Mus musculus: one gene and its partners. The protein of the gene in region 3 purifies or fractionates together with the protein of the main gene of each other region. This does not show direct contact. Links are inferred from orthologs where the notes say so. Each region holds a gene or a part of one and is shown on either strand. Other genes may lie near its edges. The genes, in order: Grk2, Nck1 and Git1.

Region 1 (4,093 bases), on a different chromosome or scaffold from region 3:
TTGTTTTCTTCTGAAGGAGTCAAGAAGTCAGGGGAGTCGGGATACTTGCTTTGCTGGACACGAACTGGCAGGAGAATCAGGTTCTAAGTGTCCATGCCTGGGGTGGGAGTGTCCTGGCAGCCTGGAAAGCAAAGAGGTGCTCTAGAGAGGTGTGCAGTTTAAATTGCTTTCACTCATTTGCTTAAGACGGGGTCTCACTCTATAGCCCTGGTTGGCTTTGACTTTACAGAAAGACACCTGCTTTTGCCTCTCGTGTGCTAGCCAGGTAAAGTAGACAGGAGTTGGCCAAGGAAGAAGGCACAGAAGGGCTCAGTGGGTAAAATGTTTGCCACCAAGCCTGAGGACCTTGAGTTCCATCCCTAGAGACCCATGTGGTAAAAAGAGAGAACTGATGGTCAAATTGTCTGTCCTCTAACCTCCACATGTGCATACACAATCAATCAACTGATCAGTCAATCGATCGATCAATTAATGAGTTCGGCGTTCATCAGAGTGTGGTTTAATGGACTATGCCTTTAATCCATTTCAGCACTTGGGAGGCAGAGGAAAGCAGATCGCTGTGAATTAGTGGTCTGCCTGGTCTACATAGTGAGTTACAGACTAGCCAAGGCTACACGGGGATACCCTCTCTAAAACAAGAACAACAACAAACGTTCATGTCAGGAGTGCGGCCCAAGCTCTGAGTCTGGGGTCCTGTTGGGAGTTTGAAGTCAGGATTGTCATCTGGTCAGGTCAGGAGTCAGGGGTGGTAATGATGGTGTGACTCTGAGAGAATGTTCAGAAATTTGAGTATAGGAGTCTTGGTCGGTGTCAGGATTCTTGTTAGGACCCACGGTCTTGGCCCTAGTGGAGCGTGCAGTCTAGCATGCTGAGATGGGATCCGCGTTTGTGGTCATGGCTTGGGGTCTGAGGTCATCCTAGAGTCCTTGGTGGAAGACTCAGGTAACAAACCAGGACTGAGACCCGTGTCTCGGACCCGAGCGGTGCAGCCTCTAGGGGGCGCTGTCGCCTGCCCGCCCGCCCGCCGCCCGCCCGGCTCGGCCCCTCGGCGGCTCGCTGGCGCTGTGCGCGGCAGGCGGGGCCGGAGGCGGCGGCGGCAGCTCCGGGGCGCGGGCGAGCGGGTGGTGGTGGTGGTGGCGGCGGCGGCGGCGCCCCGACTGCAGTCCCGGCGGGAGCGGAGCGCGAGCCGGGCCGGGCCCGAGCCGGCGCCATGGGGCGGCGCCGCCTGTGAGCCGGCGACGAGCGAGGACCGGGCGGGGCGGCGGCGGCGCCGAGGCCCACAAGCCGCGCGGGCCGGGCCGGGCCGAGCGAGCGGGAGCGGAGCGGAGCCTCGGGCGGCGGGAGGAACAGCGCCGCCGCCGCCGCCAAGATGGCCGACCTGGAGGCGGTGCTGGCCGATGTGAGCTACCTGATGGCCATGGAGAAGAGCAAGGCCACGCCGGCCGCGCGCGCCAGCAAGAAGATCCTGCTGCCAGAGCCCAGGTGAGCCCGCCTGTGCCGGGCCCCACGCGCCGCCCCGGGATCCCGTGCCCTAGGGACCCCCTCCGCCCCAGGTTCCGGGGACCTTCTGCCCCAGGACCCGGGAACCCCTTCTACTCCGGGGACCTTCTGCCCCGGAGACCCCATTATTCTGGCCGCCCCAGGACCCGGAGACTTCCTCTGTCCCTGCCGCCGCAAGGCTTGGTGTCCGCAAGCCCTGGGCGCCCCAAGTCCAAGCTCCTAGCCCTGGGCCGCCCTGCCGCTTCCTGTATCTCACTGCCCGGCCTGGTCGCTGTCAGCCCCTGACTCTGCTGCAGCCTTCTTTCCACCCTGATGCTTGGCTCTGCCCTCTACCCTCTCGTGTTCCCTTGTGGTTCCCTTCCTCAAGTCTGCCTCTGTTTACCCGATTGTATCACACAGTCTGTTGCTCCCGTTGGTATTCCACTACCCTATCCACTCCCCGTGGAGTGGGTAACACTCTTGTGAGGTTTGTGGAGTGAAGAGGACCAATTTGAAGACTTTTATTTATTTATTTATTTATTTATTTATTTTGCCTTCCCCTATGGTGGGGTCACTATGGGATTGGGTTTGAGAGTGCTTTCTGGGGACAGTGCAGTGTACCATTCCTGAGGGCTGCGCTCCGGTGGGTGAGGGAAGTCCCTACTTTACCCTTTTCCCCACTTGTGGTTCCTTATGGGTACTTTTGACCAGGGGACCTCCCATCCTACAGCAGATGGACCATGCTGCCACCTCTCTACAAGACAACTGATGTCATCGCACCTGGTATCAAAGTTTAAACTGTCCAGGATGTGGGTGCAGAACAGGGCAGGATGTGAGAGGTGTAGCTGGGGCTTGTCCAGTATATTATGGTAAATAGACTTATCTTCCTATTTGAGCTGCACAGGAGACCAGAGAGCGAGTGAGACAGGTGTAGTTTTGTTCCCATAGAACAAGGTGTGTGTGTGTGAGAGGGGAAACAACTCAGACTGGAATGGCTTGTGCAGTGTCACCTGGCCTCCACATCAGGGCTCTCAGCTTCGAGTTTTATGTTTTGTCCTGACCTGAAGGGTGGCCTGGACGTCTGTCCTGCATCTGGAAGAGGAGATGTGTCCACCCACCAGGATGCCTCCTGGTGGGTGGTGAGGCCAGTCCCAGTAGCCTCCCATGCCAACTCCTTTAACAGCCAAGAGTTGGCCTTGATTTTACTGTCATTCTCTGTGGTAGAACATGCTCTACCCCCAGTGGGCAGTGTGAAATAGGCCTCTGGTGTCCTCTGTCCTTAGAGCCAGGTGGGCAGGTTGCGGGCTTGCTGCTGTGCCTGTCACCGTGCCCCCTCCTCCAGTGGCTGCACACTGGGTTTCAGTTTGACTGAGAACCAAGCCCTGTAGAGGAAAAATTGGTCTGTGTTTTGAAGAGGCCGTTGGGCCCCCCTTTTTTCTAAGACATTTGCAATCAGATTTCTCAAAACAGGAACTAGACTGAGTGTCAGCTGGGGCTGTCTAGGGGCAGCAGCAGTTAGGATGAAAATGAGTTCAGAAATGACAAAACTTAAAGGGAAGAGTGGGGGAGGGGCAGTCCGCATCTTGGGCTTGTAGTGCTCTCCTGGGCGGCCACAGCCATGGGGTTCTTCTGCAGGTGGAGGTCTGCAAAGTTTAAGGTGGTGCCTTTTCTAGAACTCTCTGTGTCTGGACAATCTTTCCCCAGAATGCATTGCTCCTAATAGACCCTACCTCCGGTCGTCTCCTTGCTGGTGTTCAAGAACCCTGAAAAACGAGCTGTACCTCTTTCTTTTTACCTTTTCATATGGTGGCAGTTGTGATGTGATGTGATTGAATAAGAATGGAAAGTTTAATAATTCATTATTTATTTTGACATCTGTCATCTCAGTTGATCCAAAAACCAACATGTGAAGTTGGCAAGGCCAACAGTACCAGGATGGGGTAATAGCTGTGAACAAAATTGCAGCAGGCTGTGAGTTTTAGGAAGCGATACCACAGGTGCAGGGTCACCATCAGTAGGATGTTGTTGGGCCAACTGCTCAGTCTGTGAATGGTTAGGAGCCTCTAACTCTGCCCACTGGTATGCTCAGACAGTCACCCTGCAGTGCTGTGGCCCTAGGCATGCAAGCCTCTCATGATGGAAGGCAGGTTCCCTACGTGGTGACGCGCTCTGCACACTATTGAGGCAGGTATCTCTCACCCTTGAAGGTAGTTGTGATCGTGTCTCATGTGTGCCCAATATATCCCAATCTGTGAAGTGTCTTGTCTTCACAACTCTGGGACGCTGGCTGACCCAGCAGGTGGTATTTCTTCATTTACTAACCGAGCTTTGAGGCTTGTCACACAGAAGATCTGGGATTGGGTCACAGGTCCTTGGAGTCCCAACCACAGTCTCTTCCTGTCAGTGCTTTGTCTCTTTCCCCCACTCCCATATAATTGGTTTGTGGGATGGGATGGCTGAAACCACTTGTCGTGGGAGCTGTGGGTCTGGGGTGGTGGCCTGAAAGTAGCAGGGCAGTTTCTGGCATCATCAGCTGTCACGGTATACAAGACCCAACCCTTCTGCCATTTGCTGAAACACAGGCTGCCCTGGCAAAGCTAGTGTGTAGATAGGA
Region 2 (4,445 bases), on a different chromosome or scaffold from region 3:
CCTCCTTTGGAGTTAATGGGGGTCAGCTGCCTGTATGTTTTTGCTTTTGAGATAGCATCTCTCTATGTAGCCTTGACTGTCCTAGGATTTGCTACATAAACCAGGGTGGCCTTGAACTTGCAGAACTTGAACCTGTCTCTGCATATATATATATATATATATATATTTGTCTTTTTGTTTTTTGAGACAGGGTTTCTCTGGGTAGCCCTGGCTGTCCTGGAACTCACACTCAATCTGTAGACCAGGCTGGCCTCGATCCACCTGCTTCTGCATGCATCACCCCCTTCTCTTCGGTATGTATGTTTTTAAATATATAATTTGCATTACTTACTTTTGATACTAACAATAGGCAGAGTATCCTTTCCCCAGTTTTATGTTCTACTTTTCTCAACTAAACTCAGGATTAAAAGGGGCTACAGGTAACTTGTATTTTACCTAGGGCAGGCCACCCATGTATTTATTAACATGCAATTAAGTTAAAAGCAGAAAACAACTTTTTAGGATTTACAGGTAGGGCTTGTAGTATAGCTAAAGGAAGGGGCTGAGATTCAGTGATTAAGAGCGCTGGTCTTCCAAGGGGCCTGAGTTTGATTCCCAGCACCCACAGGGTGGTTCAAAACCATCTGTAACTCCAGTTCCAGAAGATCCTATACCCTCATTTGACCTCCATGGGCAGCAAAATTATACACAAGTATAACACAAGTACACCAAACACTCGAACACACAAAGAATAAAAATGAATTTTTAAAAGATGAAAGGAAGCTGTATTAATTCCTCGATTGTTGAGGATGATGTGCTAGGCACGAGGTGGGCGTGGGTGAAACAGTTCTTTTAATAGACTTTGCAATCTAGGTATATGGGTGCAGCTACGCTGGAGGCAAAAACTCGTGTTTCCATAAAATTACCTAACCTAGAATGTTTCTTTTAGGTGCCACACCCACACTAAGCAACAAAGGTGATTGGGAAATAGTGAGGCAGGTTATGAGTCGCTGTAAGGCAAGTTAGGAAGGAGAGCCGATTTATTGATGCCTTCCTTGGCAGGTGGCTGGGACTGTGCCACTGCCATACTCACCCCTAGGGCAGAAGTAACTGTCCTTTTCACAGGACTGGAAGCCGGGAATGAAGGCTACCCACGCGCCAGGGCACTCGGAAGTTGCTCGCAAAGCTTATTTTGGTTGTGGTTTTCATTAACAAACATCTTACATTTTTCCCCCGAGGCTTCATTTTCTTTGTCGCTCCCTGTCCCTAAGATCTGCAGCTGGTCGGCCCTTTCAGATGCAGGCACCAGAGTAGTCTGGGTTGAACTCGGGACCGCTGTTCGACATTAATGAGCGATTTAAAATGAATGACAGGTTTTAGTAGCAGTGGGAGAGGCGGAAAGTAAGCAGCCACCGAGGAGGCTAGGGGAGAACAGGGCGGTGGGGCCCGGCGCTCCTCACCTTCTGTCCAAAGGCCGCGCAGTCTCAGCTCAGGGACCACTCAGGGCCCGCGCTTGATTGACAAGCCCGCTCGCCCAATCCCGGAGCGGCGCATTCCGCTGAAGCGTCAGGGGCGGGCGCAGGAGGCGATGGAGCCTATTAGATTGGGCGTGGAGCGGGTTTCCTGCCCGCAACGGTCCGCCCACCGGTTGCGCGCGCCCCGCCCCTCTCCGAGAGCTACGCGGCGGCGCAGCACAGGCCTCGTGCGGTAACGGCATCCGGGCAGCCGCGGTGGCGTCCCGGTGCGGTCCTCAGGTGACTGGAGCCGAGGGCTCGGCGGAGGGAAGGTGAGACGGCCTCGCTCGCGTGCGGACACACGCACAGTCCTTTCGGTCTCCCGGTCGGTCCGCTCTGCCTGCTAGTCTCTAGTCGCTTCCTCTTTCCCCGGCGAAGTTGGCCCGGGGGCGCCGTCTGCTGGCGGCGGAGCGGAGCGGAGGGGGCGGGGAGGCCGCTCGGCGGAGCTCGGGTGTCCGCGGTGCAGCCCGGTGACCCCGCGGCCTCTGGCCTGAGCTGCGAGCGCCGGTCGGGGAGGCGGGCAGGCAAGTGTGCGGCGCGCTGCCTCGGCGGTTCTCCGCAGAAAGCCCTGTCGGCGGTCTGTGTCGGTGTCCGAGGCCGGGACGGTAGGCTGGCAGGAAGGGCGCTCTCACCTCCAGCCGCCAGCCTGAGGAAGCCGAGAGGGGGGACATCCTCGGGGCGCGCCCTCCCCTCCCCCTCCCGTTCCGGAGCAGGAGAGATGTGGGTGTCCGGGGGCTGTTGAGGTGGGGTTGGTCCAGGAAAAGCAGTCCTCTGGGTTGGTTTCGTACTGTTGTCGTACGGGTTTCCGTGCTAGGTCGGTTCAGTGTTAACAGCTGGGTTGGAAGGAAGCTGGTTTTTTGTTCAGGGTTGAGGACCGTAACATGACCGGTTAACGTCGAGCCGAGCTGAAGTCACCCGAAGAAAAATACTGCCCTTAGTTAGGAAAGAATTCACAGGAGTTAGGAAAGAACGAGATGAAGAAAACTTCCTGACCCCATCTTGGGTGGGGAGCAGTGAGAATCCAGGGTTCGGCCAAAAAAACGGGTCAAGTTTTGCAAGAAGCGTTCCATTTTCAAAAGCTTTGGTAGCTTGATGATGATCAATCAGCCTTAACGGTTTCTTAAGCACCTGGAAATCAATTGTGTGCTTTCAGCCTTTAGCGACGTCACAACATGAACAGAGAAATAGTCCAAGGAGAAAGTTTTGATTGATCATTTTCAGTCTTGTTTTTAAATAGATATTCTCTTCACATCGTGATAGTTAAGTCAAAGCGTATGCGTTGGTTGATTAGTACTTTTTTTTCATCGTGGCCACATGTGGTGCTTTCTCTGGGAAAACTTCTGTAGGAATTGGCTAGAGTAACTAAAGCGTACATTGTGTTGATGTCTCCGCTGTATGTATGAGCATTATGTTTGAAAAGATTTGCCTCCCCAGCAAGCATTTTAAATTGTTTAGGTTTCCAAGCCCAACAGATCCGTGTATTAATAAGTCGACACGTTAATGTATTGCCTTATTAAACATTGAGTGATAGTTTATGCTGCTGATTTTCTAATTTGAGAACTTCGTTCTAGAGTTCAAGGCTTGTTGTGATTATTATTGTAAATAAATTCCTTCTCAGGAGAACTTGAAAAAAAATGAATTAACTCTGGCAATGTGGAAGAATGGATGCTTTCAATGCCAGAAAATCAAATGATTATTTCACTGTTAAGTAAAATTGGAGGAAACGTGAACTGAGCATTTAACAAATCCAACAGTTTGACGACAATTTGACAGGCCTGCCTGATTCTCACTTTAACCTATCAAGGAAATAGAACTTCAAAGTCTTCCCTTCACAACTGATGCCCCACGCCTCCAAGCTGTCTTTCATTAGCGATACATTAGTAGCATGCTTTCAGGAACCCAGACATAAACCTTAACATTGTACTGTTTTTTTGTAGTTGTTTTCTTTAAAAAAAAAATCTTACCTTTGTATTCTTATATATTGTTTTTCAGTTTCTGAACTACTCAGTAACTCTAACTGGATTTTCTGCCTGGAGGATCTCAAATGTGTTCTGCCTGTGCTGATCTTAAAATAATACTTTGAACATATTTTTCACTGTTTAGACACTAGTAATATCTTTCCTCTAGATTCCAGTCTTTTAAGGGTTTATTTTTATTTTATGTGTTTTGTAGTGTTTTGTACGACATGTGCTGTGGACTCTGGGGACAGAACAGAGATCCTCTGCAAGAGCTCTTAACCACTGAGCCATCTGTCCTAATACAGAAACATTCTCTGCAAACTACTAACTTTGCAAAGGAAAAGTTCGCTAAGCTTTCCTTCTTCCTTAATTTCCTTCCTCCCTTCCCCGCCCTCTCTTCTCTTTCCCTCTCCTGTCTCTTTTGCCTTCCCTCAGTTTTGGGGTGAGACCAATGGCTTCTCATAAACCTTTGAGGTGTATCATCAGTCTAAAGTTCTATTTTTTAAAAAAGTGATTGGTTATTATATTTTCTACACCCAGAGTCAGGACAGCTTGTGAGGGGTCAGTTCTCTGTCCCCCACAGAGGTCCCATGAAGTGAACTCAGGTTTTTAGGCTTGGCTGTAGGTACCTTTAACTACAGAGGCATCTTGACACCCATCCAGAGTTACATTGTTTTACATATTGTTAAACATTTTTAAAAAGTGTGTGCTTGTATGTATGTTGAGGGCATGATATGTGCACAAGAGGCAGGTGCCTGAAAAGGGAGGCCAGGAGAAAGTGTCAGATACTTACAGGGGGTCACAAGCCTCCTGTTGTAGGGAATCAGCCTTGGATCTTTTGCAAGAACCATACTTGAATTTAACTGGAGACATCTTTCCAGTCCCTAGAAATTTAATTGTGATTTGAGTGAAGGTTGTCAAGATTTTCTGTTACCTATGTTAAACTGAGTCTTTGTTTGTTTGTTTCGCACGCCCTCTTTCTTTTTAAGTTAGC
Region 3 (2,576 bases):
CTTGCCATGGATGTGTATGATGAGGTGGATCGGAGAGAAAATGATGCTGGTGAGTGGTAAGAGATCTGCTGTAAAGAGCAAGGACACAGTAGACGTAAGGGACCTGCTGCAAAGAGCAAGGACCCAGGGAACCAGGGGAACGGGGTACTGCTCTGAGACCTACTGGGGTGAGTCCCTGCCATCCCCCACTGGGCAGTAGGAGCCAGCTGCCTCCCTACCCACCAGGCACTGGAGCTCATGTTGCTCTGGCTGCCTCCCATTCTGGCTGTCTCCCCAGCCATGCTCCACCCCTACCCTGCATCACTCCTTCCTGGCCACAGCCAGATTCCAACCCAAACTCTGGGTCTGGCCTGGTGGGCCCTGCCTTGTTGTGTTGTCAGTGGGCGGGGCTCACAGGGTGTGGCCCAGCTTTTGTGTTCGTGGAGACCCTGCTTCCTGTGACACTGACCCAGTCAGAATAGAGGGCCTGGGGGGCTCTGCTCAGTGCTTCTCTGAGGGCCCATTCACCATGGGTGATCTGCTCCCTGCCCTTCCCCCACAGTGTGGCTAGCTACCCAAAATCATAGCACCCTGGTGACGGAGCGCAGTGCTGTGCCCTTCCTGCCAGTCAACCCTGAATACTCAGCCACTCGGAATCAGGTGAGGAGGGATAGGTGGGAGGCCTGGGTGGTTTCCTTTCAGTCTGAGGGCCCTGCCCTTCTTTAGCCAGAGACAAGCTGGCACCCAGGCAGGCTCTCCCAAGGCCTCCCTCAGAGTCTGACTAGGAATGGGATGGAGCTATTCTCTAGTACTGCTGGGTATTTTAGCCTCCTAAGGGCTCCCTTGGGTGCCTTAAGGCTTTGCTGACCTGGGCTACCACCCTGCTGATGTTGGGCTGGGTGTTTTAGCTGTGAATGGATGGGATGGCAGCGTCCTGCTTTGCTATTCTGTTCCTGCCCCTGAGCCAACCAGAAGTGGTCCCTCATGCCGGCTTTGTCCTTTCCGCCTTGTAGGGACGACAGAAATTGGCCCGTTTCAATGCCCGAGAGTTTGCCACCTTGATCATCGACATTCTCAGTGAGGCCAAACGGAGGCAGCAGGGCAAGAGTCTAAGCAGCCCCACAGGTGGGAGCGCACAGGCTAAGGCACTGTTGCAGGCCCTGCGGTCACCTTTGCCTGGGATCTTGATAAATGATGTGTGTGGCTGAGCAGGCCCAAGTGACAGGTCTTCTGTCTTTAGACAACCTTGAGCTGTCTGCACGGAGCCAGAGCGAGCTGGATGACCAGCACGACTACGACAGCGTGGCTTCCGACGAAGACACGGACCAGGAGCCCTTGCCCAGTGCAGGCGCCACGCGGAACAACCGTGCCAGGGTCTGACACTGACCCTACTCTTCCCTCCCGTAGTCTCCTCTGTTCCTTCTGGCCTTTAGACCCAGTTCCATGTTATACATAGCCCAGCTTTGGTCAGCCTCTGTCCCCAAGACTGACTGGCTTCTGTCCCTACAGAGCATGGACTCCTCAGATCTGTCAGATGGGGCAGTGACACTGCAGGAGTACCTGGAGCTGAAGAAGGCTCTGGCTACCTCCGAGGCCAAGGTGCAACAGCTCATGAAGGTCAACAGCAGCCTGAGTGACGAGCTGCGGCGGCTGCAAAGGGAGATCCACAAATTGCAGGCAGAGAACCTGCAGCTTCGGCAGCCACCCGGACCAGTGCCTCCACCCTCACTTCCCAGTGAACGGGCAGAACACACCCTCATGGGGCCTGGTGGAAGCACCCACCGCAGGGACCGCCAGGCCTTCTCTATGTATGAGCCAGGCTCTGCATTGAAGCCCTTTGGAGGTACACCTGGGGACGAGCTCGCCACCCGGCTCCAGCCTTTCCACAGCACGGTGAGTAGCCTGTTGGCCTTGGTGGGGGAAATGAGGGTCACACTAACTCTGACACTGCCCTGCTCCCTCAGGAGCTCGAAGACGATGCCATCTACTCAGTGCATGTCCCTGCCGGCCTTTATCGGGTAAGCAGGACCTGGGGAAGGGTGAACCCTGAACCCGTGAGTCACCAGCCCCAGTAGCTGTTAAGCTACGCGTGACAGACACTGAAGTACAGGTGGAGACTGACTCTGGCCCTGTCCTGGCTTTCAGATCCGGAAGGGGGTGTCTGCCTCTTCTGTGCCCTTCACTCCCTCCTCCCCACTGCTGTCGTGCTCCCAAGAAGGAAGTCGCCACGCGGTAATTTCCATCCCAGGGCCCAGGGGCAGTGTGTGGGCTACACAGGTCCAGGAGTGTGTGCTCACCCATCACCCCTCCCCACCCTCCAGAGCAAGCTCTCACGCCACGGCAGTGGTGCGGACAGTGACTATGAGAACACACAGAGTGGGGACCCTCTGCTTGGGTGAGATACCTGGGGGTCTCTACCCAGCCCTGTGAGCGCCTGGAGGGGAGGCGGTGAGGGCCCAGCATGCAGGTGCAGAAGCCGTCAGTGGCTGGAATGGCTCCTTTCCCCTCCTACCTGAGTTAGGCTTGAAGGGAAGCGATTCCTAGAGCTGAGCAAGGAGGATGAGCTGCACCCTGAGCTGGAGAGCTTAGATGGAGAC

Evidence for each region.
Region 1: the proteins of Git1 (region 3) and Grk2 purify together in Homo sapiens (affinity purification with western blotting; 4 studies listed by BioGRID and IntAct, with this or other methods). This does not show direct contact. The link is inferred for Mus musculus from reciprocal best matches to the Homo sapiens genes GIT1 and GRK2.
Region 2: the proteins of Git1 (region 3) and Nck1 purify together in Homo sapiens (affinity purification with mass spectrometry; 4 studies listed by BioGRID and IntAct, with this or other methods). This does not show direct contact. The link is inferred for Mus musculus from reciprocal best matches to the Homo sapiens genes GIT1 and NCK1.

Annotation. Positions count from the first base shown.
Region 1 is NC_000085.6:4,303,291-4,307,383, reverse strand, and holds the start of Grk2 (beta-adrenergic receptor kinase 1), read left to right. Parts: upstream 1-1,161; 5' UTR 1,162-1,369; coding exon 1,370-1,482; intron 1,483-2,190; exon of another isoform or gene 2,191-2,262; intron 2,263-4,093. UniProt on the Homo sapiens protein: Specifically phosphorylates the agonist-occupied form of the beta-adrenergic and closely related receptors, probably inducing a desensitization of them. Key regulator of LPAR1 signaling.
Region 2 is NC_000075.6:100,543,315-100,547,759, reverse strand, and holds the start of Nck1 (cytoplasmic protein NCK1), read left to right. Parts: upstream 1-1,625; 5' UTR 1,626-1,655; coding exon of another isoform or gene 1,656-2,303; intron 2,304-4,445. Other genes in the region: Gm46139 (synapsin-1-like), read right to left, coding at 1,656-2,303. UniProt on the Homo sapiens protein: Adapter protein which associates with tyrosine-phosphorylated growth factor receptors, such as KDR and PDGFRB, or their cellular substrates. Maintains low levels of EIF2S1 phosphorylation by promoting its dephosphorylation by PP1.
Region 3 is NC_000077.6:77,503,380-77,505,955, forward strand, and holds part of Git1 (ARF GTPase-activating protein GIT1), read left to right. Parts: coding exon 1-49; intron 50-541; coding exon 542-639; intron 640-992; coding exon 993-1,104; intron 1,105-1,219; coding exon 1,220-1,353; intron 1,354-1,488; coding exon 1,489-1,872; intron 1,873-1,943; coding exon 1,944-1,997; intron 1,998-2,124; coding exon 2,125-2,211; intron 2,212-2,300; coding exon 2,301-2,374; intron 2,375-2,500; coding exon 2,501-2,576. UniProt on the Homo sapiens protein: GTPase-activating protein for ADP ribosylation factor family members, including ARF1.